2 linked regions of the Arabidopsis thaliana genome follow. The protein of the gene in region 2 interacts with the protein of the main gene of each other region in a pairwise test. Each region holds a gene or a part of one and is shown on either strand. Other genes may lie near its edges.

Evidence for each region.
Region 1: the proteins of ULT2 (region 2) and AT2G43220 interact in a two-hybrid assay, tested with the Arabidopsis thaliana proteins (one large-scale study listed by BioGRID).

What each region holds. Positions count from the first base shown.
Region 1 is NC_003071.7:17,962,596-17,966,952, reverse strand, and holds AT2G43220 (Cysteine/Histidine-rich C1 domain family protein), read right to left. Parts: upstream 2,735-4,357; 5' UTR 2,614-2,734; coding exon 997-2,613; 3' UTR 742-996; downstream 1-741. Other genes in the region: AT2G43230 (Protein kinase superfamily protein), read right to left, coding at 1-183, 293-360, 446-478; AT2G43210 (Ubiquitin-like superfamily protein), read right to left, coding at 3,393-3,631, 3,722-3,964, 4,153-4,357.
Region 2 is NC_003071.7:8,964,787-8,969,008, forward strand, and holds ULT2 (Developmental regulator, ULTRAPETALA), read right to left. Parts: upstream 2,458-4,222; 5' UTR 2,010-2,457; coding exon 1,808-2,009; intron 1,544-1,807; coding exon 1,059-1,543; 3' UTR 770-1,058; downstream 1-769. Other genes in the region: AT2G20820 (uncharacterized protein), read left to right, coding at 23-93, 236-269, 357-451; AT2G20830 (folic acid binding / transferase), read right to left, coding at 3,584-4,095. UniProt on the Arabidopsis thaliana protein: Putative transcription factor that acts as a key negative regulator of cell accumulation in shoot and floral meristems. Negatively regulates the size of the WUSCHEL (WUS)-expressing organizing center in inflorescence meristems.

The sequences.
Region 1 (4,357 bases), 9.0 Mb from region 2:
CGGTTATTTTCAGCTGATGGGTAAGATTCTTGTACACGACAAGAACAGCACAACCACCTACGCATCTTCCCTCTCTTGCCTATATCAAGATCGTCTACAGCTCTCGGTTTATCCAATCGAACAAAGTTGCTTTGTGTACGATCATTCGCCTGCGTTTTCACCAAAACACATAAATGAGCTGTTCTAACATGTTGCAGGAAAACAGAGGACTCTGCCTTCAAATCAACAGGCTAATAACAACAATTGTCTATCATGATCAACACAAAGGCAAATTAGGTTTCTTTATAAATACATTTGTAGATAAGTATTTTCAAATTTTGTAAAAACATTAGAATTTGTTGCGCGTTGATCTTGATTGACCTAAGACCATTACGTGATCTCAAGACATGATTTAAATAAGATGACATTTTTAATGATCAAAGCTGTGTTTGCGTGTAATGCTTACCACTTGACCACGACGATGAAAATCACGATCCATCAGAAATCAGAATGCAATTTAGAAACAAACGATCAACGAGCAATAAACCAGAGAGACGAATCAAAAGGAAAAAATGTTTGTAGACAAATGAGAGGCAGAGACGAAAGGAGGTGATGAGCTCGTGGAGAAATTTAGGAATGAAAAAAATTTGGAATCCCAAATAACTACGGAAAAGAAAAGACAGAAAACACAAAAGATAAAAGAAAAAGCTAAGAAAAGAAAGAAAACGTCAAAAGGAAGCGACAGAGAGGCGTGTGATCAAGAATAGAACAAACATCCCAATTTTGGTGAATTATAATAAAAGGTGTGAAGAATAATTACCTTCAAAGTCTCTCTCTCTCTCTTTCTCTCTTTCTCATAAATAGTTTTATGAACTGAATGAGCAAACCAACAATAAATCCAAATATAGAAAACAAGTTTATCTGAAAATAATTGAAAAACATTACACAGCCTCCATCTGTAAAAACCCATATTCTTTTTATGTTTCCAAATCCTTCCTTTCGCCTTCCTTCAGGCATTCAGAATTTCGCATTCTGAAAACAAGCTTTTGAGCAATAGTAGTACTCAATATTTTTTCTAGTAACCTTGAAAAACCTAGGGAACCTACAACGAGAGCCACAATCAGTGCATTTTGGTCTAGAATCGTGATCGTTGAAACCCACTTCAAACTTATTCTCCCTGTTCTTCATTATTATTCCAGGTTTTATGTTCAAAAAGTCCCCGGTTACGCATTCAATATGGCACACGACCCCACAATCATCGCATGTATAGAACCATCTTTCAGGATTGGTTTCGGCTTCACAGATTTCACACCAATATTTACCTTCAGGCGCCTCCTCCCCAGAGCGCAAAACTAAATAATGTGTATCACACCTATGCTTTATGACTAATGGTAGAGTGGCGCATTTGTAATCCAAAGAATAATCACAATCAACACAACGCAGCACATTGAGTTTATTCTCACCGCAAGCTAAGCAAGTACCACGATCTATTGTGGTTAGAAATAACGTGTGAGGATGAAGTTTGGGGTGCTTGAAGAAAGAGAGAGACGCACACAACACATCGAGTACCACACCCTCTTCATCCTTGTAGCTAAAACCCCTTCCATCTCTATTGCAAGCATCACAACTGAAATTTTGTTCGCTAAAATCCTTCCCGAAGCGAAGATAAAATATACCTGTGGAAAGTCCATGTCGTTTCGTAAGAGGAAGATTCGCACACTCTTCGTGAAGAATAAACTTGCATTCCACGCACTTGTAGTGCTTCTCAGAAGAGACTGGACGGGCGCAAGCTTCACAATGCATGTCTTCAGCACCATCTATAAAAACATCCTCAATAAGGAATAAGTTATGTTTCTCGTGGGAGAAATGATAAATTACCCCTTCCTCGATCACTTCAAATGGCGCAACGTCTACTACTTCCTCAGGTATCCCTTCGAGTTCGGTCCCATCCCACACGTCTTTTCTAGTTGCACATTTTGAATGAACAAAAAAATCTGGACATTTGTTGCATGAATAGCCTCCGTACGTGGTGTTGATATCTTGACGACAGATTTCACATACCCAATTCCCACGTTTGAGAGGATATGAATGTGAAATGCGATGATCATGACGATTGATGTTGATGACGTGTGGTAGATCAATACAATCATAATGAAACATGACAGAGCATGGTAGGCATACATAAGGGTTCCGTTCACCATGCGTACCACAAGCATTGCAAGTGAAGGATACTTCCCTTCCCATGAGGGTGAGTGCATGCTCGTGGCACTTTGGATGATCCACTTTGTGGGGCGGGGGCCTGTTTCCGCATTCCATATCTATGCTGAAATTGCATAACTTACAATGGTAAACGAAGTTGGAGAGTTTCCGTTGACAGAGGCTGCACTTCTCGTCAGAGTAACTAGGTGGCCCTTGGAGGAGAACCTCTAGGGGATGGTTCGGGTGACAAGGGTGGTTAATATTCTTCGTTGACCTTGGCACGCAATAGGGATGCCATTTTATATTGCATCTGAAGCATCCATAAAAAACTTCAAAGAAGGGTATAGCACTCCTATGGCACTCTTGGCAAGTGAACATACGATATTTTTCATATAAAGGATGTTCGTGCCAAAAGAGGTCCAGCGTCTTAGCCATGGGCAATGTTAAGAATGGTTGTGGATACGATGAATGAATAAGGATCAGGGAACTTTAAGAAAATTGAAAAGGTTTAACTTCAATTCCTAATTGATCTCTAAATCCTTATATTGTTGACCCGTATCACTACCCACGATCTCCGATATAAATCACTCAAGTTGATCATCGTTAGTTGTACGCAACTAATAGAACTGGTTTAGTCTTTTCTTAAGGCTCAATTTGGGGGGTCCAAGTGTTTATTATATGTCAAAAAAATTATTTAGTTAGTCCGACTAATCTTTCACCGGATTATTAAAATGCGTACTCATCGTTGACTATAGAAATATATATTAAAAAATTGTCTGGTTGATCACATATATATGTTTTGTTATCCGAGTTGATAATATTTTGGAAGGTGTGAGGATGAGCACAAGGGAAACCGCTAGGAGAACAAGAAGCTGTCAGTGAACGCCTTTTCACAGTTCAATGAAGTCTTCACTTGCATAGAAAAGAATATACAGATTCTTATATTTAAGCAACCATTTAACTCTAATATTTTTGTTATGATTGGAACCGAAGTTAATCAAACGACACTAATTAATTTCTAGAACCGAATTTAATCAAACAGAAATTGCTAGTTTTTTTAGATTTAAATTTAATACGAGCAACCGAAAAAACGGAAACGCATCAGGATACATTTTGCAGCTGGTCTCTTAAATGGTTCATAAAGAGTCAAGTATAAAAAGTAAACACCCGAGCTGTTTCTGTATCTATCCACACAGATTTCAACTTCTCTTATTTCATCGTCTATCATTACTGTCTCCACCGCTTCCACCACCGTACTGTGTGGAGTTTCCGTTCCAAAAAGCGTTTCCATCACCAAACGGAGCCTCATCTTCATTGTGATTCAACGTATGGATGTTACTTCCAATCCGAGAAGTGGTTGGTCTCCTATTCCTAACGTTGCTCCTACCTTCTGATGGATCTTGAAAGGACGTCCCTACTTGCCCCAGATTGTTTCTCACCTCCGTATTTGGTCCTATAGATAGAAAAAGAGAGAATCAGATTAGCAATTACACGACTTTCTGCATTAGAATGGATTTTATAAACTCATCATATTCCCGCATACTTGTTTGACGTTCTGGAACAGAGCTTGATGCGTTGGCAGTACCACCGCCAAAATATGAAAACGGGTTTGCATAAGACAGTACTCTTCTAACATAAGCAAAGTAACCGCCACTATTAGGGTCTGTGTTGTTGTTAGACTCCGAGTAAGATGTTCCTCTTTGATAGACGGTTGCTCTTTTTCGCGGAACTACTACAAGTGCTTGTCTATCGAACAATCTCAACTCGGATAGAGACTTATCCAGATCTGCAGAGATTAAGAGTAATGGAGTTATGTATCTACTACACTAGTCCAAACTGACCAGAAAAAAAAAAAAAAAAAACCTAAATGGCAGAAAACATCATCTTCGATCAAGATGAAGCTGGTTTTAAGGTAAAATGTTCTTTACCAAATAAAAATAAAAATCTATTGGATGCATTGTAGATTTTACGTACCTTGGTCAGTATACACCTTACGTGGGTAAGGAACCGCAAGATCATAAGCACCCAGTCCGATTGTTTGATTACTGTTCACATAATCCTTGACCATTCTCAATATACTTGTCACAGAAAACTTCTCCTGAAGGCTACTACCATCAGGTAATCGAATGTTTAAATGAACGTCAGATGCTTTTTTGGATTTTTCTCCATCCTCTTCCTC
Region 2 (4,222 bases):
GATTTGTCTGTGTACTGTGCAGATCACCATGGATCTACCAAGGTTGACTTCTGGAAACAGCCCACGAACCCAGGAAACTGGAAAGAGGAGCATGTATGTATCAATCATGTGTTTGTGACACTGTGTTTTTGTTAATGAAAGCTGTGATTTTTTGTTGAATTGATTCCTTCTGTTACCTGACCAATCTGCAGTTTGTGCTTATTTCTCTGTCTGGCTGGGGCTTACTTTTCTACAGTGGATACAAGCTCGCCACTGGGGGAAAAAAAGAGGTACTTACTCTTGCTCTTCAGCTCTTGCTCTTCTTCCATTGCCTAGAGGCTTCGGGTTCCTTCCCTTATACATAGTTTTTTTTGCAGACGCCTGTGGAGAGTACACAATGAGTTTCATTGTCACCAGGAAGACCTTTTATGGAGAGACCTCTCATTCTCATGCACTTTGTTTTCCCTTTTAGCAGATTGTGACTGGTCTTGTGTTTCATTTTGAAAATAATTTGCATCACTTTTGAGATCTGATGATGTCTGCAATGGATAAATTCTTGACAGTTTTGTGTTTCATAATATCCTATGTTTGAAACAGACAGGATTTAAGCAAATCATTGTCTCACTACGTATGTTGATATATGCTTTCGAGCTATTTCCTTCCATTCTATTTGTCTGGTTTGGATACCAATTTTTGTTGGAGGTATTTCTCCATGTATGTCGTCCACCTTCCAAGTACATATTGGCTAATCCAAATGTTTGTAGCTGCTCTTGTCTCATGCTTTTATTCTTGACATAGTTTATTCAGCATACTATTACAGTCACTGCTTGCTTCTTGTTATCGATCTCCTGCCTTGTGTGTATTTGCCGAGGTTATATGGTTGAATTTAGATTAGATTCATGTCCTCGTAGTGGTGCTAAGTTAGTTTTCCAAGCCCCAAGTCGGTTTTTTTTCCAGTATGTGATCCCTACTTGGTCTCTCCACTCGCATAACAGGTGTAACAAGCTACTGATTAAAGAAAATGCAGAGCATACATTACAAGTTTTTGCAGAAGAATTAAATAAGTTAGAGAAATGAAGTCAAATGGGTTTGGCATTGGTGGTGAAATCGAGGCAAGTCTGGCAGTTACAATCAGAGAAACGGCAGAGCTTGCAGCCGAAGCAGACGCAAGAAGTGCAGCCTTTGCAGGACGGTGAGCGAGTGCAACCTCTGAACACTTTCCTGCTCCCTCTTTCTTCCTCCTCCTCGCATGTTATCTTGTCGTATGGGTAATCGCAACACTTCCAATTAGGCTCAGCAATTGCATCATGGTGCATCCGGCATTCCCCTCTGCTCCTCAATCTGAACCTCCTCTCCTTCCCGCATGTGCTGCACCCAACAAACTCATCCCGATGAATGACTTTCGATACGTTAGAGTTCTTCAATGCTTTGTTGTAGTATCTGAGCAACACTGTCTTTGAAAGCGGAACCTTGTCTCCTTCAATGAACACCCAAACATTGTTCCTCCAGTTTCTAGAGGTTTCTCTCTCAGAATGCTTCTCGAAGGCAGCAGGCGTCAACTTGTCTACCATCATAGAATGAAAGCTGTCAATCAGATCACTTTGAAAGAAACTCGAACTTGTGATATAAAATGGAGATACATTACAATGTAAGGTTATCCCACACTCTAAAAGACTGCATGAAACATATCACATCTAGCAAATACAAGCAGCCTCATAGTTCACCGAGGCCAAAGAACAGTTACATTGCATTCTTGACACTATCATGAATCCATACACATTCACATGGAACATGCATATAGAAAGATGTGAGAGAGAAGAAGAGGAACCTTCGAGACAAGCAGGAGTGCATTGGCAGGTGATTTGAAGTTCTCCATCTGAAAATATCTTAAGCCTCGCAACGGCGTCTCCGTAACGGTGGCTGGTGCAGCCACACATGACCTCGACGTAATCGTCTCCCACATGGACTCCACTTATTTCTTGTAGCTCCTCTTTGCTGAACAACTCCTTCGACCCACATTCTCTCTCCATCTCCGATCGGGACCAAGTAAACCACGACGAAGGGCTCCTTCTCCTTCCTATGAAGTATTATTATATAGGATCAGAGCCCTAAACACCAAGGGACAAGAAGGTAATTTGACATGAGTAAACGAGAAAAAGCCCTAAAGGAGCTAGCATCAGTAGTAACGAAGGATCTGACAATTATATAGAAAAATCTCAAAGGTAAAAGGCTTTTGGAGTAAAACAAAAAGAGAGAGAGACTTTGGTGTTTTTCTAGGTTTTAGGGGATTTGAAAGAAACTCTCTATAGAGACAGAGAGATGATGGATGCAAATTAGGTGGCCAAAGAAAAATACAAGTCGTGAGGCATGGGAATTGTGAATCTTTTAATTTTTAGAATAATATTTTATAATATTATCTACGTTAACGTTCATACATAGATGTGTTCTTGTAATTGTCCATATATGGTTGGTTGATGATAAAAGAGAAGAGATTAAGTAAAGTTGTTCTCTAAACCCACATGTAATTACCTCTTCTCTTCTTTCTTTTCTCTCTTTTACTTGTGACTTTTGAGCTCTACAGGTTTCATGGGTCTACCATTTATGTACACAAATAATGCTTTTTTTCTTAAGAGTTAGGTGTATGATAGTCGCATCTGGTCCTTATTCTCCATTGCGGCCCAACTCCAATGTGCCCATACATATGTATGTACATGTATACACATATACAAGGACACACCTAACCTTTAATTGTCTACGTCAATGTGTGTAGGCATGTCATAAATTACATTTTTTTTGTCTAAATGTAACGTATACTCCTTCCGTTTCAAATTAGTTGTCGTTTAGAAGTTAAATTGTGTTTCAAATTAGTTCTCGTTTTGATGTTTTTGACGAATTTTTTAATTTATTCTTGTTCTTTTAACCTATTGATTGATTATATCAAATAAAACAACACAATAATTAGTGATAAAACAGAAAAAGATAAATGTTCTTTTAACCTCCTTCCCCTTGTTGCAAACCCAAAAAAATGACCAAGAAGAACTCAAGTCAATAACGAGCCGCACCAAACTCCACCTCATCCACGTTGTTTTTAGAGACTTTTGACCCTCGAATTTCACCTACGACCAAATTAATAGAAAACCAGTTGTCTTTTCACTTTAACAAATCATATAGACCACAACCTCCATATATATAAATTTGAAGGACAAAGATTGTTAATTACCACATGGTCACGATGCTACCAATAGTTCACTATACATTAGTTAATGACTTGCATGCATTGCCATATAGATATATGCAAAACAAGGCAAAATGCTAAGAAAACAACAGCTTTAAGAACCACGGCAAAAGACGAGGCTACACAAAACAAATCTCTCACAGTTGTTGAGGAAAAACACCAATGATGAGATCTGATGTTTTGGCCTCTCAATGAACGTACCATCATTTTATCATTTCACTTTTTATTTAATCTTTGCTAATTTCAATTGTCACTCATGGCAATGTATATCACATCTAAACACAAAATGAAGATAAATGATCGATGTCGGTAATAATACGTTCTAAGAATGACAACATCATACTGTTTTTACTTTTTTTACTTTGAAATTTATGAATTGTTGAGCAAGTCCATATATCTTTCAACGATCTGGTCAGGTGTATAGTCCGTATAATACCCTTTTCCCACAAGCAGACCTTCCTCTCTGCCAAGCCTCTCGATCAGTCCCTGTACTTCATCTCCCCCCACTTGGCTTGGATTCAACAAGTTACAGGCAACCTCTATGACTCCTTCCCCGTGCACCAGCGCCATTGTCTGCACTGAAGCCAAGCCCCCTCCTCTCTCGCTCGTCTTCCTCGCTATTCTCCTCACTGCCTTGAGATCGTTTGACATGACAGGCACGTTATAGTTACTTACCCACCCACACGCCCCAACCGCTACAACCCCTTTGGCTTTGCTCACCTCTTGTGGCCCTGCGTCTGGCTTCAGTGGCACCATCTCCAGGTCAAACCCACCTGCCCATTCATGTCCCTCCCTGTTTGCCTTGAAGTACCCCAGCTTTCTTCTGATCGAATCCAGGGTGCACTGCTCCTTTTCTGCTGCTCCATAGAGATATGTAGGAACTGCACCAAGGTGGGTCATATATCTCAGTCCAGTCCACATATCAATATAGAGATTGCTACAAAGACTTCCAAGTTCTATGGCCTAGACGAAGATGAGATTTTAAACACAGGGCATCACTTTGCCTAT